4 linked regions of the Schizosaccharomyces pombe genome follow. The gene in region 1 interacts genetically with each later gene. Each region holds a gene or a part of one and is shown in the gene's direction. Other genes may lie near its edges. The genes, in order: bgs1, sid2, ryh1 and kin1.

What was found.
Region 2: mutations in bgs1 (region 1) and sid2 impair growth when combined (synthetic growth defect), as found in Schizosaccharomyces pombe (2 studies listed by BioGRID, with this or other methods).
Region 3: mutations in bgs1 (region 1) and ryh1 impair growth when combined (synthetic growth defect), as found in Schizosaccharomyces pombe (one study listed by BioGRID).
Region 4: of bgs1 (region 1) and kin1, a mutation in one rescues a mutant of the other (synthetic rescue), as found in Schizosaccharomyces pombe (one study listed by BioGRID).

Annotation. Positions count from the first base shown.
Region 1 is NC_003423.3:2,350,811-2,360,130, reverse strand, and holds bgs1 (primary septum and spore wall linear 1,3-beta-glucan synthase catalytic subunit Bgs1), read left to right. Parts: upstream 1-2,766; 5' UTR 2,767-3,887; coding exon 3,888-9,077; 3' UTR 9,078-9,209; downstream 9,210-9,320. Other genes in the region: DNA-binding transcription factor, MADS-box Mbx1, read right to left, coding at 1-130, 203-286, 438-584, 652-702. UniProt on the Schizosaccharomyces pombe protein: Alternate catalytic subunit of the 1,3-beta-glucan synthase (GS) complex. Synthesizes 1,3-beta-glucan, a major structural component of the fungal cell wall. Required for the assembly of the division septum and maintenance of cell polarity.
Region 2 is NC_003424.3:220,425-226,790, reverse strand, and holds sid2 (serine/threonine protein kinase (NDR family) Sid2), read left to right. Parts: upstream 1-2,837; 5' UTR 2,838-2,938; coding exon 2,939-4,762; 3' UTR 4,763-5,097; downstream 5,098-6,366. Other genes in the region: dnf2 (phospholipid-transporting ATPase), read left to right, coding at 1-2,395; cfh1 (chitin synthase regulatory factor-like Chr3), read left to right, coding at 5,336-6,366. UniProt on the Schizosaccharomyces pombe protein: Part of a signaling pathway. Required for initiation of medial ring constriction and septation.
Region 3 is NC_003424.3:1,191,409-1,197,461, reverse strand, and holds ryh1 (Rab family GTPase Ryh1), read left to right. Parts: upstream 1-2,316; 5' UTR 2,317-2,425; coding exon 2,426-2,548; exon of another isoform or gene 2,549-2,591; coding exon 2,592-2,751; intron 2,752-2,828; exon of another isoform or gene 2,829-2,830; coding exon 2,831-2,942; exon of another isoform or gene 2,943-3,054; coding exon 3,055-3,265; 3' UTR 3,266-3,848; coding exon of another isoform or gene 3,849-4,265; 3' UTR 4,266-4,316; coding exon of another isoform or gene 4,317-4,400; 3' UTR 4,401-4,451; coding exon of another isoform or gene 4,452-4,546; 3' UTR 4,547-4,620; coding exon of another isoform or gene 4,621-4,683; 3' UTR 4,684-4,757; downstream 4,758-6,053. Other genes in the region: SPOM_SPAC4C5.03 (multispanning membrane protein, CTNS/PQ domain protein), read right to left, coding at 1-467; pseudouridine-5'-phosphatase Pud1, read right to left, coding at 3,849-4,265, 4,317-4,400, 4,452-4,546, 4,621-4,683, 4,758-4,800, 4,870-4,917. UniProt on the Schizosaccharomyces pombe protein: Has a role in retrograde traffricking of proteins from the endosome to the Golgi. Involved in protein transport to the plasma membrane. Involved in the secretory pathway where it has a role in acid phosphatase secretion.
Region 4 is NC_003423.3:2,691,334-2,699,062, forward strand, and holds kin1 (MARK/PAR-1 kinase Kin1), read left to right. Parts: upstream 1-2,998; 5' UTR 2,999-3,834; coding exon 3,835-6,510; 3' UTR 6,511-6,795; downstream 6,796-7,729. Other genes in the region: rpl2502 (60S ribosomal protein uL23), read left to right, coding at 1-191; emp46 (lectin family glycoprotein receptor), read right to left, coding at 685-1,839; ATP-dependent RNA helicase Mak5, read right to left, coding at 6,956-7,601, 7,639-7,729. UniProt on the Schizosaccharomyces pombe protein: Has a role in establishing the characteristic rod cell shape. Important for cell polarity and is involved in directing growth to the cell ends.

The DNA of each region.
Region 1 (9,320 bases):
CACTGTCGGTAGCAGAAGAGCAATTATTAGAAGGTTGAGCACTGTATGTGGTAACAGAAGCAATCCGCTTATCTTTAGGTCTCCAATTATGAAGGGATTCATCAGATGGTATATTAGGATTTATGTTTCTCTTTCTCCCCAAGGGATTATGTTAGTAAACAGAATACAGGACAAGCATAATGATTGCTGATAAGTGACTTACCAGAGGGTCAACCGTGACAAAGTCCTTGTTCAGGAATTTTTGCAGCAAGGCATCTCTTTGCTCTTCCGGTTCCTCAGAAGAATACTAAAGAGGTGTATGTTAATATTAAAAACTTGTAAAAACATTGCCACGTTTTCTGGTTGTTGACCTTCATCACCTTCCCTATAATGTATTCACTTTACATTGAAAGGATATGACAGAAAAGGATCAGAAAAACGGGAAATATGAAACATACAACGTGACAAGCATTTTTAGAATCAAAAATCATGACCACCACTTTAGCATCACACAAAACGGAGAGTTCATGTGCTTTTTTTATCAAGCCAAGTCGTCGACGATTAAAAGTAAGAGCCTTATTTTTTGCATCGGAAATACGCTGTATCTAAATGGTACGTTAGCGAGGAGAAAAGGGGTGTATGAATGGAACCAAACCACTATGTAGCACATACAGAACGGCGAGGAGATGAAGGAGCAGTACTAGGAGGAGGATTAATATCCATAGTTAGAGTCCAAATATTTAGGTAATAATATAAATAAGAAGTAGAAAAAGAGCGACAATTAAGAACCAAAATAGTAAAAAAACAACAAAAAAAGGATTAAAAATTAAACCAATTGACTAAATCAACCGAGGAAATTCAGTGAAGTCTAGAAATAAAAATTAGGAGAAAAGGGAGAAGGAAAAAAGGGCGCAAAGAAAGTGAGAGTTTCGACTATTCTTATATTCTTGTTTCGTGATTATTGACAGTGTAATAAAAATCAAAATTAAGGGAAGGCAAAGACGCATGCAAGGAAGTGCAAAACTTAAAGGTTGAAATACAAAATATGATTATCCGCTAGATTCACTTGAATGTATCAGCTTGACTTGAAATGCAGCAAAACAGTAATGGGTACCAAAATGGGATATAATCTAAAGGGATAAGAATACAAGGAAAATGTCGTTAACGTTTTGGGTAGACGAATGAAAAAACCTTTTAATGTAGAAAAAAGAGATAACTTTGGAAGAATTTTAAAAAAGCAGGCAAATATTAGGATATCATTCAATCGGCTCCTATGACTTGAAGTCTAACCCAATACTAAATGTGCAAAAAAAAATAAGGAAGCCGATCACCAAAATAAATGGAAACCAAATAAAAAAAAGCCAAGGATGAAATTCAAAATATTCAATTTGAGACTTTCAAAATGTAAACAAAGCGACAATAACGGCAATGTAAAGTTTGCGGAGACAAAAAATTTCACCTTTGAATATAAATAGAAACACTGAATAGGCAGTACGGAAAAAAATTTTTCTTAAATCAACCCCAGACTTGAACCAAAATATAAAAAATGTGAAATTTGGATGAAAAAGAAGCGTATACAGCGTATCAGGAACGTATAGTTTGTAGGAAAAAACGCTGGATTTATCCTTTTCAAAATCTCGTGGTAAATGTACTGAGCCTTTCTATAAAGCCCACCCAAGCCCTGTAAGGTACCGGACGAAAAAAGTCTCGCTACAGGGGGTTAAGATGATAAGAAAGGCTAGGGTGCTAGATTATTTATCTAATAAGGTAGTGTAAAGAAGTAAAACAAACTAGAGAAGTAGAAAATATAGGAATTAATGAAATGGAGAAAATGAAAAGAGCAGAAGGTGCGACAATAGAAATAGTTGTAGTCAAATGATTGTAAGAAGTTGTTTAAGTGTGACAACTAAATAGTCATCAAAGATTTAAAAGAATATCGCTGTAATAGTCGATTGATAGATAAAAATATTTACAGGATGTGTTTGTTTTTGGGGTATTCGTAAGGGAAATTGCCCAATCCAAGTCTTAACCAGAATATGGAATGGAAACCTTTTCCAATGCCGGCACATTGTTTCTTCCTTTGGATTAACCAATTGCTTTTAAATTCGTACTCGGTTGTCTTTTCATCTTCTTTAGATCCTAACCAGATTTGTTAGCATTCAAATCCGTACTTTTCCCACGCATTCAATACCCAGACATTGTGCGTCTATGATTTTCCCAATTTTCGGGATTTGCGAAAAAAGCCCAATGCCTAGTTCTCTTCATAAGCTCTATACTGTAATAATCATACCTTTGCTAATTGGGATTCGGTACCTTCTAGCTTTGTATTATTTTTACTATTGTTTACCACCCATGTAGACAATCACATATTAGAAATTAGTTTAACAATTCCAAAAAAAAAGAACACTCGTCGCTTATGTTCACTGTAACTGAATTATGGTTTCAGCTACACTTTCTTGACTTTTTGTAGTTTGTTTACTTCTTTTCCAATTCAAATATAGCGTCCTTAGTTTGGTTAAAAGTATCCATCTAAAACGGTAGCTGGGTATAACGATTGATAAGATGCTACACAGTAGCTGCTTATAAATTCTTTCTTTGTTTGACCGGCTATGGCTTTGCTTTGTATGGGGATGGTTTTTTAAGCCTCCTTGTGCCTCGTTGGTGAGTAACCTGAGCCTCCTACCACGCCAGCCTCTAAATTGCTTACACTAAAATAGGCCTCAATAATGTGCACTACCCTTCCCCATTTCGCTGTTAGTTTTGAAAGAACCGGAATGAGTACAACTTGCAGACAACAAACTAGGAACTGGTGGGTTTTGGCTATTTTCACCGTTCTCTTAGTGGAATTACTCTAAAATTTTTGAAAATATATTGATTAATTAGAGTAAATTATCCTTTTTAACGTCAAATTTTTGATTCTGTTGCACGGAATTAATTTTTTCTTCCTTCTTATATATCTATCATTGGTTCCTTCTTTTCTTTTTCCTCTCTTTTTTCCTATTAGCCTCCATACAAAAAGGTTGACTCCATCTTAACATTTGCCAAGTTTTCTTGTGTGATATTATCTTTACGTTAGTTGCTCCATCACTGCTAAGTTTTCGGTGTGTGCAAGATCACCTTTTGTCGTAGCATTGTGTTTGTGTGGACGTTTGGCGTTTGTCCCGGGTTCCTCTTACCCTTTCGCTTCTCTTTTCCTTCCATTTTCCCATCTCCATTTACTTTTTTTTCGCTTTGAGAGATTGTAAATAAGCTTCTGCATACGACAATTTAATTGTTCAATCTAAAGTTTATGTGGAAAGCGATTTTATATTTTCTCCTTTTCTTTTAAAAAAACGTCCTTCCTTGAATCGCTTTTTTAAAAATTTGGTCAGTTTCCTAGGTGTGCATTTGTAAGTACTTCTTTTGGTGCTTGCTGTTTTATGGTATTATTATTGTTGTTTTTATAATTATTTCTTCTTTTTTTTCGCCTCTTTTTTTATAATTTGCATACTGTATTTTTAGGTTCCGTTCATTCCCTTTTGAACCTCCGATATCTTAACTACTCTTTCACTTCGTGATCCCACCCTTTTTCCTACTTTTAGAGCTTTTTCCGCCGTCTTCTCTCATCCGGCATACATATATCACCCTTTTTTCTTCTTTTTAGGATTTGAAAAAGTCTTTTACTTTTTTCATTTCAATCAGCACAAATTTTTTTCTCTTCTACTCTTTTGCCCCCATTTTCCAAGGCTTAACTTCTTTCTTTTTAATCTTTTTTTCAAGGTCTCTTAAATTTATTTCTTTCTTTTGAACATCGTTCCTCATTTGCTAGCATTCTTTCTCACAAATTCCAACTTTTCTTTCTTTCAATTCTTCTTAATTTAAGCATTAAAATTTGTCCTCTCTCCTTCTTTTGAGTCTATTTATTCATCATGGATCAGTATTGGCGTGAACAAGAGGGTCGTGGACTCTTTGAAGATGATGCCAATAGTTATGTCTCTGACGATGATACTATGAGCTCTCTGACCCGTATGATTTACGATAAAAACTCTTCTCGTGATGCATTACATTCTGATTATGATAGCTCTTCATTTAATGTCGATTCCAGTTCAGTTGCTTATCCGGCTTGGAATCAAGCTGGTGAAGAGGCTCCTGTTACTATGGAAGGTGTTCAAGAGATCTTGTTGGACCTTACAAATAAACTTGGTTTTCAAAAAGATAACATGCGTAACATTTTTGATTATGTTATGGTTCTTTTAGATTCTCGGGCATCTCGTATGTCTCCTTCCTCGGCACTGCTTACTATCCATGCCGATGTCATTGGTGGTGAACATGCAAATTTTTCAAAGTGGTACTTTGCTTCTCATTTTAATGACGGTCATGCCATTGGATTTCACGATATGTCTTCCCCAATTGTCGAAACAATGACTTTGAAAGAAGCTGAACAGGCATGGAGAGATCAAATGGCAGCATTTTCACCCCATCGCATGATGGTGCAGGTGTGCCTTTATTTTCTTTGCTGGGGTGAAGCTAACAATGTTCGTTTTGTTCCCGAGTGTCTTTGTTTTATATTTGAATGTGCTTATGATTATTATATCTCTTCGGAAGCTAAAGATGTCGATGCTGCTTTGCCCAAGGAATTTTATTTAGACTCGGTTATCACCCCTATTTATCGATTTATTCATGCACAGCTGTTTGAAATTTTGGACGGCAAATACGTCAGACGAGAAAGAGATCATTCTCAAATCATTGGCTATGATGATATTAATCAATTGTTTTGGTCCTACAAGGGCCTTCAGGAAATCATGTGTGCTGATAAAACTCCGTTGTTAGATTTACCACCGTTTATGCGATATCGACATCTTTCCGATGTTGAATGGAAATCATGTTTTTATAAGTCCTATTACGAGTATCGTTCTTGGTTCCATAACGTTACCAATTTCTCACGTATTTGGGTAATGCATATATCTGCTTACTGGTATTATTCGGCTTATAATTCCCCAAATTTGTACACCAAAAATTATCACATCCGCTTGAATAATAAACCTCCTGCTTCTTGTCGTTGGACAGCTTGTGGTTTAGCTGGTGCTATAGCTTCTTTTATCACCTTGGCAGCTGTGGTTTTCGAATATATACATGTTCCTCGTCGTTATCATTCTGCCAGAAGGTTGTGGCCGAGTATGCTGTTATTGATAAGTACGCTACTTCTAAACATCGCACCTGTTGTTTTCATATTTGCTTCGTCTACGAAAGAGCAGCATTATGCTTCTCGATTGGTTGTAGGAATTGTGCATTTCTTTTTCTCGTTGGTCTGTGTAGTTTACTATTCGATTACGCCGTTACGAAATTTGGTTGGTTTCACCACAAAAAGGTCTGGAAAAAACCTTGCTAACAGATTTTTCACCGCCAATTTCACTCCGACCTCAAAAACAGGTGCTTTCGTTTCTTGGTGTCTTTGGATTACAGTTTTGGTGGCCAAATTCTTGGAATCTTATTTCTTTTTAACTTTGAATTTGGCAGATTCTATCAGATTTTTGGGTGCTATGCGACCTTATGACTGCCGTGATTACATTTTAGGAGCTGGACTATGCAAGGCTCAGCCTAAAATTCTCTTGAGTTTACTGTATTTAACTGATCTTTCTCTGTTTTTCCTTGATACTTATCTATGGTACATTCTTATCAGCACTATCTATTCTTTGGCTTATGCTTTTTGCCTGGGTATCAGTGTGTGGACTCCTTGGAGAGAATTGTTTTACCGCGTTCCCAGAAGAATATATACAAAACTGTTGTATACCGATGACATGGAGATTGTCTTCAAGCCAAAAGTACTTATTTCTCAAGTTTGGAATGCCATTATTATCTCGATGTACAGGGAGCATTTGATTTCCCGTACCCAAATTCAGGAGTTGTTGTACCATCAAGTACCTTCTGAAAAGGCAGGCTATCATACTCTTAGAGCTCCCAACTTTTTCTACTCCCAACAGGTTAAGCATTATAAGCAAGATTTGTTTCCGGCTAATTCAGAAGCTGCTCGAAGAATCTCCTTTTTCGCACAATCCTTGGCTGAATCAATACCCAAGACTAGTTCCATTGATGCCATGCCTACCTTCACTGTTTTGGTTCCTCACTATTCTGAGAAAATTTTGTTATCTTTAAGAGAGATTATTCGCGAGGAAGATCAACTTTCTCGCGTAACTCTATTAGAGTACTTGAAGCAGCTATATCCTGTGGAGTGGAGAAATTTTGTTGATGATACAAAATTACTTGCTGATGAAAATGATTCTGTTATTGGCAGTATCGACAATGAAAAAAATGGAGTAAATAAAGCATATGACCTTCCTTTCTATTGTGTTGGATTTAAATCTGCGACTCCGGAGTATACTTTGAGAACAAGAATTTGGGCCTCTCTGAGAACTCAAACTTTGTATCGCACTATCAACGGTTTCAGTAACTATAGTCGTGCCATCAAACTGTTATACAGAACGGAAACACCAGAATTGGTCGAATGGACAAATGGTGACCCTGTGCGATTAGATGAAGAATTGGATTTAATGGCAAACAGGAAGTTCCGATTCTGTGTCTCCATGCAGCGGTATGCTAAGTTTACCAAAGAAGAAGCCGAAAATGCAGAATTTTTATTAAGAGCGTATCCAGACTTGCAAATTGCATATATGGATGAAGATCCTCAATCTCGACATAATGACGAGCGCCATCTTTATTCTGTACTGATTGACGGTCATTGCCCCATTATGGAAAATGGAAAGCGTCGACCCAAATATCGTATTCGTCTATCTGGTAACCCAATTTTGGGTGACGGTAAATCTGATAATCAAAATATGTCTATTCCTTACATTAGAGGTGAATATGTACAAATGATCGATGCCAACCAGGATAATTATTTGGAAGAATGTCTAAAGATTCGTAGCATTCTTGCTGAATTTGAGCAACTTACTCCTCCCTTACATAGCCCTTACTCGGTAAATGCCAAAGCTGCTGACAATCATCCCGTAGCTATTCTCGGTGCTAGAGAATACATTTTTTCAGAAAATACAGGTATGCTTGGAGATGTAGCTGCTGGAAAGGAACAAACATTTGGTACTCTTTTCGCTCGTATTTTATCGTTGATTGGTGGAAAATTGCATTACGGACATCCTGATTTTATTAATGTTTTGTTTATGATTACTCGTGGCGGCGTTTCAAAAGCACAAAAAGGTCTGCATGTTAATGAAGATATTTATGCAGGTATGATTGCTCTTCAACGTGGAGGACGTATTAAGCATTGTGATTACTATCAATGTGGTAAGGGTCGTGACTTGGGTTTTGGCTCAATTCTTAACTTTACTACGAAAATTGGAACGGGTATGGCGGAACAAATGCTTTCAAGAGAATATTTCAACCTTGGCACACAATTACCGTTTGATAGGTTTTTGTCATTTTTCTATGCCCACGCTGGATTTCACGTCAATAACATGGTCATCATGTTTTCTTTACAGTTATTGATGCTTGTTATTATTAATTTGGGAGCAATGTACACTGTTGTTCCGGTTTGTAGATACCGCCAATTTGACTCCTTGACAGCTTCTTTGTACCCTGAAGGTTGTTATCAATTAAAACCAGTTCTCGAGTGGTTGAAGCGTTGTATTTTGTCTATTTTCATTGTCTTTGGTATTGCTTTTGTTCCACTTGCTGTTTGTGAATTAGGGGAACGCGGTGCCATCCGAATGGTTATTCGTTTAGCGAAACAAATATTCTCTCTATCTCCTATTTTTGAAATTTTCACATGCCAAATATATGCGCAGAGTTTAATTGCAAATCTTACGTTTGGTGGTGCACGCTATATTGGTACTAGCAGAGGTTTTGCTACTGTTCGTGTGCCGTTCTCACTATTGTATTCTCGATTCTCTGGACCATCACTTTATTTTGGGTCACGACTTATGTACATGTTATTGTTTGGTTCAATTACTGCTTGGTTGCCGCATTATATTTACTTTTGGATTACGCTGACTGCTCTTTGCATTAGTCCATTCCTTTACAATCCCCATCAATTCGCCTGGACCGATTTCTTTGTTGATTATCGTGAGTTTATGCGCTGGCTATTCCGCGAAAATTCACGCAATCAAGCAAATTCATGGATTGGCAACTGTCAACTTTGCCGTACCAGAGTAACTGGGTATAAACGTAAAATATATGGTAAGAAGGCAGATAAAATTGCTATGGATTCCCCGCGTGCGAGAATTACTACAATGTTTTATGGTGAAATATTAGGGCCTCTAGGAACACTATTTTTCACGTGTATTCCATTTCTCTTTATCAATTCCCAACCTGGTAACGATGATGAGACCCAATCTACTAATGCTTTTATTCGCTTGATTATTATGTCAGTTGCTCCTTTGGTTTTAAGTGCAATTATTGCTTTTTTCTTTTTCTGTTTAGGAATCATGTTACGTCCTATTCTCGGCGATAGATCTAAAACGTATGGTGTATATTTGGCTGGAGTGGCCCATTTCCTTTTTGTGTGTGTTGATGTTGTTGTCTTTGAAGTATTGGGCTATTTGGAAGGTTGGTCATTTTCAAAAACTTTACTTGGATTTGTAGCAATCATTTCAATTCACAGGTTTGCTCATAAATTTTTTATCATATGTTTCCTGTCTCGAGAATTTCGTCATGATGGTGCCAATTTAGCTTGGTGGTCTGGACGTTGGAATGGCCAAGGTTTTGGATATATGGTTTTAACGCAACCATGGAGAGAATTTGTGTGTAAAACTACAGAGTTGAATATGTTTGCTGGTGATTTCCTTTTAAGTCATCTTTTGTTGTTTTTGCAAGCGCCTGTTATTTTGATTCCTTATATCGACAAACTTCACTCGATCATATTATTCTGGCTTGTGCCCAGCAGACAAATTCGACCCCCAATTTATACCATAAGACAAAACAAACTTCGTCGTCAAATAGTTCTTCGCTATGCCACTTTGTACTTTTCATTGTTTATTGCCTTTTTTGTTCTTTTAATTTTGCCTTTTGTGTTTGGTAAATCAGCTGCTGGAACTTCAATGGATAAATTTAATCTGATTCAGCCAGCGACAAAGATTGTTTATTCTTCAACAAAGAATTCTTCTGTCTAAAGCATTTTATTTTTTTTTAAAGGATTTGTGTGATGTGGATGCTTATTTCTCATTAGAAATGCTCTCAATTAGGGTAAATAATAATTATTATATTTGCATTTTGTTAAATAAAAAATGACTTGAGTGTTGATTAAGTATCTAGTACTTGAGAATATATTATCTAAATAAGTAATGAAGAACGATTGATGGTTAGAGCAAACACAAACTTAATGTCTGTTACATGAGAAAAAATTATTGGTGCAC
Region 2 (6,366 bases), on another chromosome or scaffold:
CGAGGGAAAGGATACTGAAGAATTGACTCTTCAAAAGCAAAGTTTCATTGAACGTGACCGAATGCAAATGATTTCTCAAATGCGAAATATGCACGACAACAAATACCTTGTGGATGATAACCTCACGTTCATCTCGTCGCAGTTTGTTCATGACCTTGCTGGCAAAGCTGGTGAAGAACAGTCACTTGCATGCTATGAGTTTTTCTTGGCATTGGCCCTTTGTCATAGCGTAGTTGCAGACAGAGTTGGTGACCGGATTGTCTATAAAGCACAATCGCCAGATGAAGCTGCACTCGTGGGTACCGCCCGCGACGTTGGCTTTGTTTTTTTGGACCAGCGGAGAGACATTATGGTTACTCGTGCTCTTGGAGAAACCCAAAGATTCAAATTGATGGATACTATTGAATTCAGCTCAGCGAGGAAGAGAATGAGTGTGATCGTTAAAGGACCCGATAACCGTTATGTGCTTATTTGCAAAGGTGCTGATAGCATTATTTTCGAACGTTTGGAACCAAATGAACAAGTTGAATTACGTAAAACCACTTCTGAGCATCTCAGAATTTTTGCATTGGAAGGTTTACGAACACTTTGTATCGCAAAAAGAGAGCTTACTGAAGAGGAATATTACGAATGGAAAGAAAAGTATGACATCGCCGCATCTGCAATTGAAAACCGTGAGGAGCAAATAGAGGAAGTTGCCGATTTGATTGAATCTCATCTTACTTTGCTCGGTGGAACAGCTATTGAGGATCGATTACAAGAAGGAGTACCTGATTCAATTGCATTATTGGCTCAAGCCGGTATCAAATTGTGGGTTCTGACCGGAGACAAAATGGAGACTGCTATTAATATTGGTTTTTCTTGCAATTTATTGGACGCTGGCATGGACATGATTAAGTTTGATGTGGACCAAGAAGTGTCAACACCAGAGTTGGAAGTTATTTTAGCTGACTACTTATATCGTTATTTTGGTTTGTCTGGATCAGTTGAAGAACTTGAAGCTGCTAAGAAGGATCATGACACTCCCTCTGGCTCTCATGCGTTAGTTATTGATGGATCAGTACTTAAACGAGTTTTAGATGGTCCAATGAGAACCAAGTTTCTGCTACTTTGTAAAAGATGCAAGGCTGTCTTGTGTTGCCGTGTTAGTCCGGCTCAAAAAGCAGATGTTGTTCAATTGGTACGCGAAAGCCTTGAAGTAATGACGTTAGCCATTGGAGATGGTGCGAATGATGTTGCAATGATTCAAAAAGCTGATATTGGTGTTGGTATTGTTGGTGAAGAAGGCCGTGCTGCAGCTATGTCTGCGGATTATGCAATCGGTCAATTCCGATTTTTGAGCAAGCTGGTTCTTGTTCATGGCCGTTGGGATTATAATCGTGTTGCTGAAATGGTAAACAACTTTTTCTACAAGAGTGTTGTATGGACATTTACTTTATTCTGGTATCAGATTTACAACAATTTCGACGCAAATTACCTTTTCGATTATACTTATGTTATGCTGTTTAACTTGATTTTTTCATCGTTACCTGTCATTGTCATGGGTGTCTATGATCAAGATGTTAATGCTGATTTGTCGCTTCGGATCCCTCAGCTTTACAAGCGTGGTATTTTGCAATTAAATTCAGCCAGGAAAATCTTTATTGGATATATGCTTGATGGGTTTTATCAGTCTGTAATCTGTTTCTTTTTCTCTTTTCTTGTGATTAACAATGTGACCACAGCTGCTCAGAATGGTCGTGATACTATGGCTGTACAAGATTTAGGTGTTTACGTTGCTGCGCCAACTATTATGGTTGTCGACACGTATGTTATTCTGAATCAATCAAATTGGGATGTGTTTTCAATTGGTTTATGGGCGCTCAGTTGTTTGACATTTTGGTTTTGGACTGGCGTCTACTCTCAAAGCCTTTATACATATGAATTTTATAAATCTGCTTCGCGTATATTCAGAACTCCAAATTTTTGGGCTGTTTTATGTGGAACGATTGTAAGTTGTCTTTTCCCGAAGTTTTTGTTTATGACAACGCAAAAGTTATTTTGGCCATATGATGTGGATATCATTCGCGAAAGTTACCGCACTAAACGCCTTCATGAATTGGATGAAGAAGAGGAGATTGAGAATGCCGAACAATCTCCAGATTGGGCATCTTCTACTTTACAGGTCCCTTTCAACGCATCTTCGTCAAGTTTGGCGACACCCAAGAAAGAACCTTTACGTTTGGACACAAATTCGCTTACACTCACATCAAGTATGCCAAGAAGCTTTACCCCGTCATATACTCCAAGTTTCTTGGAGGGCTCTCCTGTGTTCTCTGATGAAATACTTAACAGAGGCGAATACATGCCTCATCGTGGTTCCATTTCTTCTTCTGAACAGCCGTTACGGCCTTAAAAAATGGCAAGTTAATAAGCTGAATTATCTAATCAAGATAATCTGTGTACCCATTCTATTTCTACGCTATGCTTAAGAACATAACTTTTCATACTAAAGAATGATGAATTATCGAATAATGATTATGATGTTATAGAAACATCTCTGCATACTAAATAAAATACATGAACGTTTACATTTTTCTTCTGAAATCAAAAGATTGCATCAAATTTAAAATGTATTTTGCATTCACAGTACATTTTAAAAATAACGAGATAAATTTACTATATCTAGTTTACATTTGTATGATAAATAATAAAAACAGACTTTTTAACAATCTTGTTCTAAGTAGTAAATTTGGTGGTTGGTTTTTTAAGTTTTGAAATTTCCAGCGACTGCTGTAATCAAACTTTGGTTGCTAAGGGTAAATGGCTGATACCTAACTCCGATGGAAATGTACTCTGCCGTAAACAAAACACGTAAGGTTATTATTGACAGGAGTTTTGCATTTTTTGGGGACCAAAACGTTGGATGTTTACGATACATATTTAAAGAAAACTAATAATGAATCGTGTTAATGATATGTCACCAGTTGAAGGTGATTTAGGACTTCAGCTAAGTTCTGAAGCAGATAAGAAATTTGATGCATATATGAAGCGACATGGTCTTTTTGAACCCGGCAACTTGTCGAATAATGATAAAGAAAGGAATTTGGAGGATCAATTTAATAGTATGAAGCTTTCCCCAGTGGCATCTTCGAAGGAAAATTATCCTGACAATCATATGCATTCAAAACACATTAGTAAGTTACCGATTGCAAGCCCTATTCCGCGTGGTCTTGATAGATCTGGCGAGTTGAGCTACAAGGATAATAATCATTGGTCAGATAGAAGTTCAACGGGTTCACCAAGATGGGAAAATGGATCTATGAACTTGTCAGTTGAAGAAATGGAGAAAGTGGTCCAACCTAAGGTAAAGAGAATGGCAACCATTTGTCAAATGTTCTTTTTAGACCATTACTTTGAGCAGCTTCATTATCTTTATACCCGCAAGCAAAGAGCCCGTCTTTTTGAAGAGCAGTTGCTTAAAGAGCCTGATTCACGAAGAGACGAGCTAGTGAAGCGATACAATGGACGTGAACGAGTATATCTAAGGAAAAGGAGGACACGCATTAGTCACGGAGATTTCCAGACCATCACTCAAGTCGGACAAGGTGGATATGGCTCTGTTTGGTTGGCTAGGAAGCGTGACACCAAAGAGATTGTTGCTTTGAAAATCATGAATAAATCGGTTTTGCATAAAATGGATGAGATCAGGCATGTTCTTACTGAGCGTGATATCCTTACGACAGCCAACTCGGAATGGTTAGTTCGTCTACTTTATGCTTTTCAGGATACTTCAAACATTTATCTCGCTATGGAATTTGTTCCTGGTGGTGATTTCCGTACTTTGCTTAGCAACAGTGGTGTTTTAAGGGATCATCATGCCAAGTTTTATGCTACAGAAATGTTCCTAGCTATTGATGCTTTGCATCAACTTGGTTACATCCATCGTGACCTTAAGCCAGAAAACTTTTTGGTTGGAGCTAGCGGCCATATTAAATTGACGGACTTTGGTTTAAGTTCTGGAATAATCAGCAAAAAGAAGATTGAAAGTATGAAGATTCGTCTTCAAGAAGTCAACAATGTCGTTGTTCCCGAAAGGAGCATGAGGGAAAGGCGACAAGTGTTTCGAACTCTTTTATCTCAGGATCCTGTATACGCTCATTCAGTAGTTGGCTCTCCTGATTATATGGCCCCAGAGGTTTTACGAGGTGAAAACTACAACCACTCTGTAGACTATTGGTCTCTTGGCTGCATCATGTATGAATGTCTTTCTGGTTTTCCTCCATTTTCTGGCTCCAATGTTAATGAAACCTGGTCTAACTTGAAGAATTGGCGCAAGTGTTTTCAACGCCCTCACTATGATGATCCCCGCGATTTGGAATTCAACTGGAGAGATGATGCATGGGATTTTGTATGTCACTGCATTACTGATCCCAAGGATCGCTTTTGTTCTCTTAAGCAAGTCATGCAACATCCTTACTTCTCAAAGATTGATTGGAAAAATGTTCGTACAGCATATCGTCCTCCGTTTGTACCCGACCTTAATTCTGAGATTGACGCAGGATATTTTGATGATTTCACTAATGAAAATGATATGTCTAAATATAAGGAAGTTCATGAGAAACAAGCTGCAATTGCTAATATGGTTAACACATTTAATAAGCCTAAACGCAATGCTTTTATCGGCTTCACTTTTAGGCATCAAAAAAATAGTCATCCTACTAGCTCTAGTAGCGCATTATCTAGTCCCCTCTCTGCTCCTTCTTTCGGGACTCTATTATAATCAAAGGGAAATTTAATGACCCTTGTTCATGGTATTTTTATAAGACATCTACTGTTATTAACTATTTTCGAAGATACTGAGCTTCGCTTTTGATGTTTTGACATTTACAGTACTGTCTTTTACTATTGCATTTCACTTTCGAACGGCATTTACATTACAATTTGCGAAAGTTATCACTTTAATTTTATGATGTTTATTTGGAAGTATCCTTTTTCATTATATTATATTATATTTTTATTTATCTTCCACTATTTTATTCGTCAATATTCAGCTTTCGCCATTTATATAGAAGAACTTGCAATTACCAGATAAATTATGTAAATCATTTACTTGATAGGGAAATAGACACTATCTGCAATTTAATATCTTGAACCATTTTTACTATTTTGGAAAATTTTTGTTTTCGTGTATTATTTGTTGTTTAGTGAGCTGTAAGATATTCGTTTTGTTGGCAACAGCAGAAGAGCTGTAACATTCATCAAACTGCGATACCTCATTATCCTCGTTTCTTACTGCTTTCCTCCTAAAGCGTCTACCTTTTGCTCTTTATTTCACTCGTAAATTAATCTGTTAATGAAAGATTCACATAGCTCTCGGAGGAAGTATGAGAAGGAAAAGTTGGTATTCGCAACGAATAATGGAAAAAGAACAGAGGGTACCCCAGCTTTTTTAAAAAGCGGTAACACAGCTTCTTCATCCTCCCCTACTCTTCAATTTCGTCCTACATCGAGATATCCGACATTGAGCCATGAACCAGTGTATACGAATGTTTTGGACCTGTCTTCAAGGATTGACGCGAACAGGGCTAGTATAATGAGCGCTACAATGGGTACTCCACCTTCAGCATTGAAATTCTCCAAGAAAAAAATATCCCGGCCTGTTGTTAGTGAAGATACCTTCAAAGACAAATTGCCGCGTGCAACCATACCGGTCAAGCCGGAGCCACAGCCACAGTATAAAATTCCAGCTGCACCTGCTCCTACAAGCAAACGTGTAGTTAACCGTGGGTTAAAGCTGAACACTAATTTGAGACAGGCTTCTCCTATTTTGCCTTCACCTAGTTTAAAGTTGGATCGGCAAGATGCCCCAATACAAATAAATCATGAGCAGAAAGAAGATTTTTTGGTTTCTATTCCGCGACCAACGCCAATGACCAATTTAGATGATGGAAAGGATGAGATTGGACAACCGGATCCTCATAGAAAATATATGGCACCTCCACGTGTTAATTCTATAAGTCGTGTACAGCGTCGTATGAGTTACATACCATACGGTGGGTTTGATGACTTCTTAGATAACTATTACAAGGATGACGATACTGTACTTGAAGACAATCAGCTTAAGAGTAACTCTCGAATAGAAACTTTGGAGGAAGAAGATGGAGCAGAAAGTGACTCCATCACAAATACAGTTTCTAATGCTTCGTCAGATGCAGAACCTGCTCATCGTCATTTGGGACCAGTTTATGAAAACTCTGGACACCTCCCTTCAAAAAGTCACTTTTCATCAACCGACTCGAATACAGATTCATTCGGGTTAGAAAGCGATGAACGTTCGCTTCCTTCAGTTTCTAATGACTTAAAATCATCCGAAACTTTGAAAAA
Region 3 (6,053 bases), on another chromosome or scaffold:
GCTTTTCGCCATTTACGACTTTTCGTTACACTTAAAGGCTCAGGGATTGGTAAACCATTTTCGTCATCTGCTGCAACAAAGTGAATAGGTCGAGGGAGAAACATCCAGAAAGCCATAAGAACACAACCCATAATAAGTACCTGAGAACCCACTTGAATTAAACCGGTTGTGTTAGCAAAGCATTGCTTTTTGGAATAGTAATTTTGACAGCATTCAGTTAAAGGGCTAATTTGTAGAGCAATGACATTTGAGAACGCATTAAGAACACCTATGTAACCCAAAATAAGGTAAGAAAAACTTAAGCCTTGCGAACTTCCGAGACGAACAATGCGAAAGATTTGTAACAGGTAAGAAATGATGAGGCCTATGATAATATACACTGAAAAGATAAAGCTAGCTTTTGTTGCCAAAGGGCACTTCGGTGGTGTATCATCATCAAAAATGAAACTGCTCGTGCTAAACTCCATCGTTCATACGTACTTCGTCTCCTATAATAAAATCGTAATAAAGAAATGCAATACGAAGTTAATTTCTAATGCTTTGTATAAAAATATATAAATAAACGATGCCTGGGCTGCCAATAATGGTACGATGAAGTAAAGGTTGCTAACTTTGGGGCTTATTGAACAAGCGTCACTAAGGAAAGACAATTTAAAATTTCCTTTTGAAATAATTGGTGTTTAATAAATAAGTAAAAGGAAGAATCGCCAAAAAATTGGATTTTTCATTTAATTTTGTCGAAAATGGGGAAAGGAGAGGCAGTGTAAGCTACATTAGTCGGAGGGCTTAGACACAAAGTTGTGAGCTGTAACGTATAATATTGAAATTTTGCGATATTTAAAGTGCTATAAATTTGACATTGGAGAAAATAAATAAGTAAATAAACAATGAATTATAGAAGAAGATAAAAGGAACTGAATGAATTGTATATCTTAATAAACTAGGTAAATTTTTTTCTCTTTTAAAAACATGAGTGAAATGAAATGGCGCTACACATCTAAAAATTGAAATACATCAAGACACTTTACAAAAAAATTTCTAAATTGAATCTAAAATCAAGTTCTTTTGTTTTTAACCCCATTATCTTTTTAAAGATTCTAAATAATCTAAATTAATCGTTTGAACCAAATTTTTTATAGGATATATAACTACATATTTACTTTTTAAATTCTTTTTCATCTTATCATTAAATTCCGAGATTTTTTATTCCAAACAGCAGCTAATAATTATGAAATAACTTAGTTTTTAATTCTCTTATCTTTCTTGAACTTTTCGTCATATTGCAATAAGGATACAAATAAAAAAAAAATTTATTTTTAAAAGAATCTAAGCTTGAAAAGCCATACTATTTACTCTTTTATTGATTTCGAAAATTATTAAATTAAAACCCACTAACTAACCTGTTATTGTTGACATTAAGTATAAAATTTGACTTGGCTGTTCCGTAGCTAATTGTATCATTAATGAAATGACCGAGTTTGCTAAATTAACTCGAGTATATTTTCCTGTAAAGCTTATATTTTGCTTAAATCTGACTCGTTTAACAGCTAGTTTTATTCAAGTTAACAAACATACATTTTTCGAACAGTTTGGTGCAGTCTGCCAATCTTGAACTTGGTAGCAGACAGGATGCGTAGATTATGAAACATTCTAATAAAATTTCAAATGGAATAAAGCCATTATGTTGAATTTCAAGCTTGTTCTATGGTTTAACTACTTTCCATTTTCCTTCTTTCATCAGCTACTAAACAAAAAAATTACCTTATACTTTACTAATATGCTGAAGCCTTCAATGTTTGGGCATGTGATGCAGTGGTAGCATGCTCGCTTTGCATGCGAGTCGTCCTGGGTTCAATCCCCAGCGTGTCCAATATTTTTTTGTAAACTTAGCTACTCTCAGCAAAAATTAGGCCATTCCAATCGAGAGATTTCTTGTATTATATAGTTTAATGATAATCAAATCTCGATGACTCCTCCTTCCCATGCGATGTGGCGCGTTTTTATCCCAGTTGTCATTCCTTGAAATGTTGTGTATAAAACTATGAGTAGTAAACAAACTGTTGTTACAGCTGTATGTTTTTTAACACCCAAAAACCTATCACTATCAACAACTCAAAGAAAAAGAACCCATCTTTAGGAATGCTTAGTAATTTAAGAACGGTGAGAGTTCATGATTTCTTTTTCAGCGAAAAAGTTGTTTGTTATAGAATTACTTTACCGAGATTAAACTTCGTAAAAGCGAATGAAAAGTAAAACAAGCGAAAGTATATTAAGGATATGCGGCGGGATCTCACTGTAGCACGATAGTCTTTACTCACTACTACCACTATTAAGTACGGTGCTTTTTGATCATCAATAAGCAATTCCGTCTGTATCTAAATTACTTTTGTCTGTGTATATTTAGAAGTCAAAACTTTTTGTCATAATGTCAGAAAATTACTCGTTTTCTTTGCGTAAATTTAAGTTGGTTTTTCTCGGTGAGCAGTCAGTTGGCAAAACATCGTTAATTACACGATTTATGTACGATCAGTTTGATAATACTTATCAAGTAAGTAACTATAATTAAAACTTCTTTACTAACAGGGTCCAAGGCTACTATTGGTATAGACTTTCTAAGCAAGACTATGTATTTGGAAGATCGAACGGTTCGTCTTCAACTATGGGATACTGCTGGTCAAGAACGTTTCCGTTCTTTAATTCCTTCGTATATTAGGGATTCTTCTGTTGCTATTATTGTTTACGATATCACTAGTAAGTAATAGTGGCACAGTAATTTTGCCATATATTTTTACTCAGACTTTATTTTCGAATATCTGCTAACTACTTATAGACCATAACTCTTTTGTAAATACTGAGAAATGGATTGAAGATGTTCGTGCTGAGCGGGGAGACGACGTTATAATTGTTCTCGTTGGTAATAAAACGGACTTGGCTGATAAAAGGTATGACACTCCAGCTAACAGAGATTCAGCATTTACAATGCGACATCTCTTCATTCATAATTCCAAAGCTATATTTTGGTTTTTGATGGTTCTTATGCTAACGGTGGTTTAGGCAAGTGACTCAAGAAGAAGGAGAAAAAAAGGCAAAAGAATTAAAAATAATGCACATGGAAACTAGTGCTAAAGCGGGTCACAATGTAAAACTGTTGTTTAGGAAAATTGCACAAATGTTACCAGGCATGGAGAATGTGGAAACACAAAGCACTCAAATGATTGACGTTAGCATTCAGCCTAACGAGAATGAAAGCAGCTGCAATTGCTAGTGTATCTCATTGAACATGTCAGTGTACTCTAACTGTTTCGTGAATTATTTTTTTTCGCTTCAGGCCGCAATCAGCGGTTTTTAATGTCATTTGACCCTCAAAAAGTATACTGTGAGTATATATATATCTTCTTATAGCCCCTAAATCTTTTGCACCTTTAAAGAATCGCGATTCCTTTTATACCTGTTTCCTTTTCCTTCTTTTTTTACTTGTTTTAGTCCTTTTTTATTTTAATCCTGTCTCTATGATATATGCTTTACAAAAGTGAGAAGTTGAATTTCTGAATAAGTCTCTTTCGTTTAATCCCTGCGGTGCTTCTTGACTTTTCAAGGGCATTTGCAAAGAAGGAAAAAAATTACAATGTATGATTTTGGAATTCAGAGAAATGTTATTATTTTTTTTTTTTTAGATTTCGCTTTTTCCCTTTACTCATAAGTTATTTATGCTATGTGAGTCAGTTCAAGGTTTTCATTGAAACAGTAGAACTTTATTTATACTTCAATTTTTTAATTTTATTAAAAGATATGAGGTTTTTTGCCAAAAAAAATTGAATGAACCAAAAAAAAGTTAGCGGATATAACCTCTAGGCCTGCTTTGAATTTATGTTAAGATATTTGTTTATATCAAACTCTGAAAGACTCGGTAACGTCTCACATTGAGAATCAACAATCTCATTCAGCTGATCCCCTACCAAGTTTTTGATGGCAGCATCTGGAACCCAAATGACATGCATTCCTGCAGCCTTTGCACTTTTGACACCGGGAATACTGTCTTCAAAGGCAATGCATTGGCTTGGTGTAAGTGCCTTCAAACCTCGCTGCTTCCTACTTTCATTTATTAAATTCAACACCTTCAGCCAAATGTCTGGAAAAGGTTTGCCACGACCAGGTGCAATACTAGGATTATCACCTGTAATAACATTTTTACCAAATTTCTCAAAAATATGTTTAAGATGGGCTGTCTTCATATTATAATTTGCGGTATTAGAGGAAGTAGCAAGCTGGTGATGCTGTTAGCACACTTTTATTATAGCGTAGGGATGAGTACATACCCCGATATCAATTCCATGATTGGAGAGGTTATTAATCAAAGATTCAGCCCCAGGCATAGGCTTCAAAGACGACCAAAACTTTGCCTTTCAGAAAGTTAGTTGAAATGGAAATAAATGTAGCGTATAAGTACGTACCCGAATAACCTGTTGTTCATCAACGAATTGTTGAGGAGTCATAGGAATGTTGGACCAATCTATAACAACCTTGGCAGCTGCGGAACCCGGTCTCCCTACGTATCGCAAGTTAGACCTGCAATTTTGAAAGCATTTTAAAATATCTCTTCGCTAGCTTTATATAACATACCCATCATTTGAGCCTTAACAGAAATAGGAAGAGGATCCTTGCCATACCTGTCCAATATAAGATCTATAAAAAAAATAAAGATTAGAAAACATTGTAGTTTTGTGCTAAATATAAGCACAGATATATTATTTACATACTGGTCGTCTTTGTATAAATAGTTTCACTGTCGACAAGTAGACCCTGTAAAAAGAGTGATTGTTAATGCAAAAGCTTTCATAAGAGGTAATGTGGTGTGAAAAATAAACATACATCCATATCGAATAGACAAGCCATGTATTTTACGTGTTTAGCAGCCATTTCTAGGTAAAAAGATAGTGAAGCTTCTACGACCTAACAAAACCAAAGAAAAAAAAAAGCAGAAAAAAAACTTCCGGGATATCCAAAAAATCAAGTTTCAAAAAAGTATATTGCTGTATAACCAATAAAAAAGTATAAAATCTTCCAAAACAAGAATTAACAATTAAATATACAAATACAATTAAAGAAAACAAAGACACCGACAAATGAAGTGTTAACTGTATATCTAATTAAAAAAATCCGCGAAAAACCAAAAAATAAGGACAGTTGTTAAAGATCAACAAAGAAACGTCGATACAGTAAGGCGTGATAATTAGGCAGAATGAAAAATAGCTAAATCCCAAAACTGTGCAAACTGCAATAAGTAATCAACAATCGTAGATTAGAGTAAATCCGTGTGTCGGATGATTGGGAGCAATATTGAAGAGTTCGTTAATCTGTTTTAGTGAGAATTCAACCGCACTACTGAAAGAGAATTAAGCGTTTATATTAACCATGAAATTGTAATCCGGTTTTAATGATGCCTTAAGCTGTGGTGAATTTTCCTTGTAATTTACTTATCTATATCGCGGTACCCAGGTAGTGTAAGTTAGCGATTGTTTTGGGATATTTTTCTATGAAGGTGATGAATATTTTGACACTGAGATCGTTCATTTCCAAATTGAATAATACTGGTTCTGTTAGGCTCTCATTATATATCAATGAATAATATCCAGCTGACTATAAGCAATGATGAACCTATCCTGTATCATTTATGTACAGTGAATAGAGAAATAAAACATTTGACATATTGCGATGTATAACAGAATTGAACATAGCGAACAGCTCACGCATTATTCTCGAATCAAGCAGGCAATGATTCGCCCAGGAATCTCATACTAAAACATTGTATAAACAGAAGTTGAGGGAAAAGGAAAAGTCTCAATGACCAGCCATTCTCCCTCATGAAGTATGCTATGTTGAATTTTTTTTGTTTTAATTACTCTCTTTGGTTTTTAAAGCGTTTCTGATAAAGCCACTTGGATTCTGTTCATAAAATGGTGACTAATCAGTTAGCTATTGGAACCCATTTTGGCCATGTATTTTGAAAAGAAGAGCTGGTCAGACAAAATTTACAAGTACAATAGCGACGCACG
Region 4 (7,729 bases), 340 kb from region 1:
ATACTCTCGTCTTTCATGTGCATTTGAAGGCTAATAAGTTTACTATTAAAAATGCTGTCAAGAAACTTTACAGTGTTGATGCTGTTAAAATTAACACTTTAATTCGTCCCAATGGTACCAAAAAGGCATTTGTCAAGCTTTCTGCCGATGCCGATGCCCTTGATGTAGCCAACCGCATTGGCTTCCTTTAGCTTAAAAACTAGTTTAATAATTCACTTTTGAGCTCCGAAATTGCATCATGTACTTTCTAGTCTCGGTACAAATATATAATTTTTTTACCCTGCATATTTCTGCTAAGAAGTGTAGTAGGAGGAGATTGAATTGATTCGTGCCTATTGGCATTAGTAAAACATTTAAAAACAGGAAATTTGTAAACAGATATAGTGATGTTAAGTTATGGAACTAGAGGACCCCCATTTTAGGTAAGTGTATATCTTAAGATATGAAAATTATATATTATTTATAAGATGGTTAAGATAATAGCAAGTAATGATTCAAATATGCATTTCGTATGACTAAAAATTTTGATGATGAAAAGACAGGACAACCACGGTCAAAAGAAAGGATAATCGTCAAAACACAAACAGATGAGCAATTCTTTGTATAAAAACACCACTTCATAACTGCGCGTTTTACACGCCTATACCGTTTCTGAAAATTAATGGCAAATCACCCCAATCGAATCTATAAGTATTTATGTCTTCTGCGATCACGACGAACCAACATTATACCATAGGATACAATTGCACCCAATAACAAGAAAACCATAAAGTTTGTCAAGTTATATGGCGAGTAAGCATTTCCCATTGCCTTTTTTATCTCCTTTTCAAATTCTGCTAAATGTTTAGAAGTACCATCTGCAGTGGAAGATTGCGCAGATAGAGAATCATGTAGCAATTTTTCAAGGGCATTAAATCTTTCACTTGGGAACTGTGAAGTAGAAGAAATATCGTTCAAACGCTCCAAAGCATTAGTCAACGCAAAATGCAAAGAGTCCATCTTCTGGCGTTGAGATTCTACTAGATTAAAAAGCTTTGCCAAATCAGCCTTTATTGCGTTCAAACCTTCAGTGTCAATAACTGTTTGAGGACTAGTATTGTCACCGACGCTTTGCTTTGTATTGGAGGTAGGATTCAAATTTTCATTATTAGATGTATCTGGAGGAAGTATATTGAGGTTCGATAAAGCCACCAAGTCTTTTGCAGACGTAGATTGAGAGGAAACTCCAAAATAATACCCCTGAGGCAAAATGACATCTTTTACTTGAAAGCAGGGCTTGTCATTCACAAATAACTCTAATCCAGATTGGTCACCGTATTTGAGAATAATATTGTTCAAAGCCTCAGGAGAGCTCTCAATGGTACATTTAGCAAAGGGCGGAAGATCGGGGTCAGTAAACTGAGCAAGTTCAAAACTTTTATCATTCAAATAGCCACGAACAAAGATTTTACCAGTTTGATCGATTTCCTGGGAAATCAGAAGGCCGTCCCACTTATCGGAGGCGCCAAAAACTGGACCTTCTGAACCGACAGCGCTTGTATACCAAATCGCAAAAAAGGTGTTTTCGTTCTCTGATACATGAGCTACAAATGAAGTCGATAGCTGCCAGCCAACTTGTCGTAAAACGCTAGTTGACCAAAGGGATCCAGAGCGTGCTTCATTACTGTCTTTGCTGGTTAAGTAAACGTAACCTGAATCTTCATCCACACTACCGTACCATTTCCATTCAACGGGAATGGCGTTACTTAGTGAATGAAGTTGCAAAAACTGAGATTTAGGGACGGCGTAAGCCAATGTACAACAAAACGATAATACATGAAACAGGGAGCAAAACTTCATTTTTCTTTACTTCGTTTAAAAATAGATAAATGAATATTGTGAAAGTATGCCAAAAAAAAGAGAGAGAAACAGAAATTGAAAGAAAGGATTATTTGGTTAAGACCAGGGACTTTTTGCTCTATTACTTATAGAAAAAGATTACTCCAGTCCTTAAATCCTTTAGTTACCGGGAACCAAAGTAAATAGATGTATTTTTGGTTTATTAGTTACCGTCAGAAAGTTTATCTACAAAATTCCGTAAATGTGAAATGACAACAACCGCCAACTCAATCGTAGTAAATAAGGATGATATTTCGAAAGTCACCTAACGAGTAATGTTAGACTTCCCTATATTTAAACATGGCAGCTTTCTGAGCAACTATGGATGTTGCAGTAAAATTGTATATGAATTGGTTTAATTGCTCGAAAGCATTGTTTGTGTGCAATGCAACTTTTCAATGCGAAGTGTATTTAATGATTATAACAAGCAATAAATGTAGTAAAAAAGACCATTTCTCTACTCCACATCAGAGACAGAAACCAGTTTTTGTTTTTTTTTAAATTGTGACTAAAAAAACAAAAAAACAATCAATGAATTAAGAGTACCGTCATGGTCGATGACTAATTTTAGTCGTTAAGAAAATTAATTGATTGTTCCATCGAAATAAATTTCATAAGCTTAAGAGACATGAAAAATACTTAAAACAAAACTCTAGAGTAACTTTAATATTTCGTTAATTTAAAAAGTTTTGACTTGGCACGATAATTCAGATGTATGAATAATGTAAAAACACACGCGTATTTGTTCATTTATGAGGAAACTGTGATGGTGATTTATTCATTGTATTTTTGAATACGCATATATTTAAAAGATTTAAGTATACAATTTCAATTGAGTCGTTTGCTGCATACTAAATCCATTTTTAGATACCATGTTTTTCTCATAACCATAAAGGAGCATGCTTGCGCCTCGGTATATAGCAGTCGTGATCTTTTAAAAGGGTGTGTGGGAAAGGAAAATACAAGTCGATAAATACATGAAATAGATTAAAAAAATAAAAGTTTAAGAAAATAGTAACTGGTAGGCTATTTTGAAGTCTTATCTCTATATAAATCGATACTAAACGTAATGAATGCTTTAGCATGGTGCATTCATCCATGACATCTCCACTGCTGCTTTAACCATTCCGTACAACAACAAAGCCAGTGCATTTGGGTTAGGGAATCCTTCCTTTACAGTTTCTGGCTTCATTTCCTTTTTTTGTAATAATTTAATTGAAAGGAAAGAATTGAAGAGATATTGAATGCCTTAGGGGACGTAGCATAGATTTGCAGTGGTTGTTAGACAGGAAACAAATTGCGGGAAAATCTCAAAGTCGTTTGACTTTCTGTTGCTCAATAAAAGAAACAGGAGACCTGTTTATACTAGAATTTCTCAAACAAGAGTTTTTACGACCGAAAATTATCGAAACAACTATATTTTTTGGTCGTTTATCTTGTTCATCGAAAAAGCTAAGCCGGTTTACCTGTTCTTCTTCCATCTTCCTGCTGCTCTAATAATCTCATTTGTTATCTTTTCAAGCTTTGCTTATTTGTTTTGATTGTAGAAACGGCTTTATCGGCTTGTGAGCATCCTTCTTTTCACAAACAATATTGATTGACTACTAATCCGTTTCTAAGCCACGAGCATTCTTGTAACTAGATCGCTTTGCTTATTTGTTTTCATCTCGTACAAGAATTTCTTCGTCCCTTTATTGTTTTCTTTTTAATTTTTCGGATTTCACGCTTTTTCGTAATATTTGTCATCTTAGGTTCGCAAGGAAACTGGTGCCACGATTTACGATAACAAAGTATTTTTTGTCAACCAAGATTTACACGTTTGTATTATTTTCACAAAGTTATTATTTTATTACATTACTCAGTCGGCTTATTTTGAGTTGATTGCTAATTTTTGCCTCTCAAAAGTTCAAGCAGTAATTTTATATCTGCTTTTTTGTCTGTTGATCCCATTTCCTGATGGAGTACCGTACCAATAACGTACCCGTCGGTAATGAGACAAAGTCTGCCGCTTTAAATGCGTTGCCGAAAATTAAAATATCTGACTCGCCCAACCGTCATCACAACCTGGTGGATGCTTTTATGCAATCTCCTTCTTATTCTACACAACCAAAATCCGCTGTAGAGCCTCTGGGTTTATCTTTTTCTCCTGGGTATATTTCTCCTTCTTCTCAGTCTCCACATCATGGCCCCGTAAGGTCTCCATCAAGTCGAAAACCGCTACCAGCATCTCCTTCTCGTACGCGGGATCATAGCCTGCGAGTACCTGTATCTGGGCATTCTTATAGCGCTGACGAGAAGCCTCGTGAAAGAAGAAAAGTCATAGGCAATTATGTACTAGGTAAAACCATTGGGGCTGGTAGCATGGGGAAAGTTAAAGTTGCGCATCATTTAAAAACAGGTGAACAGTTTGCCATTAAAATAGTTACCCGTCTTCATCCAGACATAACGAAGGCAAAAGCTGCTGCTTCTGCTGAGGCTACTAAGGCAGCACAATCAGAAAAAAACAAGGAAATTCGTACTGTTCGCGAAGCTGCCTTATCTACTTTGCTCCGTCATCCGTATATTTGCGAGGCAAGAGATGTTTATATTACTAATAGTCATTATTATATGGTCTTTGAATTTGTCGACGGTGGTCAAATGCTGGATTATATTATTTCACATGGAAAATTAAAAGAAAAGCAAGCTCGAAAATTTGTGCGTCAAATTGGAAGTGCGCTGAGTTATTTGCATCAAAACTCTGTGGTGCACAGAGATCTAAAAATTGAAAATATTTTAATTTCGAAGACCGGTGACATCAAAATTATCGATTTTGGTCTTTCAAATTTGTATCGACGTCAGTCTCGCTTGCGCACGTTTTGTGGTTCATTATATTTTGCTGCTCCAGAACTTTTGAATGCTCAACCGTACATTGGTCCAGAGGTAGACGTTTGGAGTTTTGGAATAGTACTTTACGTTCTTGTTTGCGGAAAAGTGCCATTTGATGATCAAAATATGTCTGCCTTGCATGCGAAAATAAAAAAAGGTACCGTCGAGTATCCAAGTTATTTAAGTAGTGATTGTAAAGGTTTACTATCAAGAATGTTGGTTACTGATCCTCTCAAGCGAGCCACGCTTGAAGAAGTTTTGAACCATCCTTGGATGATTCGCAATTATGAAGGACCTCCAGCTTCGTTTGCTCCGGAAAGATCTCCGATCACTCTTCCATTAGATCCTGAAATTATTAGGGAAATGAACGGTTTTGATTTTGGACCACCAGAAAAAATTGTTCGTGAATTAACTAAGGTAATTAGCAGTGAAGCTTATCAATCTTTAGCTAAAACTGGATTTTATTCCGGGCCTAATTCAGCTGACAAGAAAAAGTCTTTCTTTGAATTCCGGATTAGGCATGCTGCGCATGATATCGAGAATCCAATATTACCATCTCTTTCAATGAACACTGATATTTATGATGCGTTTCATCCTCTCATTTCAATTTATTATTTAGTTTCTGAACGTCGTGTATATGAAAAAGGTGGAAATTGGAATAGGATAGCAAAAACACCAGTTTCTAGCGTTCCTTCTTCGCCAGTTCAGCCAACTAGTTATAATCGTACTTTACCGCCAATGCCGGAAGTTGTTGCCTACAAAGGCGACGAAGAATCACCTCGTGTTTCTCGAAACACATCACTTGCACGCAGAAAGCCTTTGCCTGATACGGAATCTCACTCCCCTTCTCCTTCAGCAACCTCCTCCATCAAAAAGAATCCATCCAGCATTTTTAGAAGGTTTTCATCACGCCGAAAACAAAATAAGTCTTCTACATCTACTCTTCAAATTAGTGCTCCCCTTGAGACCTCACAATCTCCACCAACACCTCGAACCAAGCCGTCTCACAAGCCCCCAGTATCTTACAAGAATAAACTTGTTACCCAATCTGCTATTGGAAGATCAACCTCTGTTCGTGAGGGCCGCTATGCTGGTATCTCCAGTCAGATGGATTCACTAAACATGGATTCAACAGGGCCCTCTGCATCCAATATGGCAAATGCACCTCCGTCGGTTCGTAATAATCGTGTACTTAATCCTCGTGGTGCTTCCTTGGGGCATGGGCGGATGTCAACTTCTACGACCAACCGCCAAAAGCAAATCCTTAATGAAACGATGGGCAATCCGGTGGACAAGAACTCTACTTCCCCATCCAAATCTACGGATAAATTGGATCCTATAAAGCCTGTTTTCCTTAAAGGCTTGTTCAGTGTTTCCACTACATCGACTAAAAGTACTGAGTCAATTCAACGAGATCTTATTCGGGTAATGGGCATGCTTGATATTGAGTATAAAGAGATCAAGGGTGGTTATGCATGTCTATATAAACCTCAGGGTATCCGAACCCCTACAAAATCGACTTCTGTTCATACACGACGTAAGCCTTCTTATGGCTCTAATTCTACCACTGATTCTTATGGATCGGTGCCGGACACAGTCCCATTAGATGACAATGGTGAGTCGCCTGCCTCTAACCTTGCCTTTGAAATATATATTGTGAAAGTCCCTATACTCTCTCTTCGTGGCGTTTCTTTTCATCGAATTAGTGGAAACTCATGGCAATATAAGACATTGGCTAGTCGTATTCTTAACGAATTAAAATTGTGATTGACTATTAAAGCTGCATACTTTTTTGAAATTATTTATTTCACTTCATTTTACGTTATGACCACCTAATTAGTGTTTATGGTTTTTAATACTAAGACCGCTTCAGGTTGAACTATATTAGACGTTGAGCTTTTTTAGAGACGAGAAACTAGACCTCTAATGCTCTTGCCTGTGAAAGCAAACAGATGCCAGAGGCATGTAAAGTCAACGTGTAAATGCACCCTCGTTCGCTTATGTTTAAGCCAGATACATAAGGCTACTATAATTAATGATATATCTTATAGTAATTCGTTCACTTATATAGTCTAATACGACGTTTTTGTTGATACTTATCTAGCAGTAATATTATTATTAACCCATAACTATAAAATACCAAAAAACCATTGTATAAAAACCTAAATGAAAACCCGTGCTATATGAAAAGTAGCTAAGTAAAAACCCTTTTTTACTTCTTCCTTTTTTGCAGAACTTCCAAAGCACTAATTGAGTCCATTCCGATAATATTATCATGAACTTCTTCGTTGGCTAATTTTTCAGCCATATTTACAAGACCGCTCGTCAAGTATCTACCAGAAAATCCTGTTCTTATTTTTTCGTGTAATAAGGGAGCAAGCTCTGAGCGAAGATGCGCTATCTGTTTCTTATTCTTACTAGATTCAGATTTTTTTGGCAAATCCGGATCCTCATCATCAGAACTTTCAACTCCCAATTCCTGAGCCATCGATTTTAACCAAGCTTCCTCACGTCCCACTCTTCCGTCTTTTCTAGTGAGATTTACAATTTTATGTGCTAAGACGACCCTCGTTTTTAAAATGTCCAATATTGACATATCCACAGGAAAATTAATAAAGGTCTCGATTTTCTTTTTCAACCGATAACATAGTCGTTTCAGCTGTGACAGTTCTTTAGGACCACACATTAAAATTGAAACGCCATCTTCGTTAGCGCGAGCGGTACGACCGCTTCTATGAACATACATATCAGCTGTATGAGGAACATGATAATGAATTACGTGCGTAACACTAGGAATATCAATACCACGGGCGGCCACATCAGTGCAAACAAGGACTCCTTTAGGATTATTTTTGAACCTTGTTAGTTAGTAACATATAAATAAAAATAACTTACTTTTCAAGAGATTGAAGTCTTTTTTTCTGATCTAATTGAGCATGTAGAGGATAGGATGGAACTTTTAACTCATTTAGAAAAGGAGTGATTC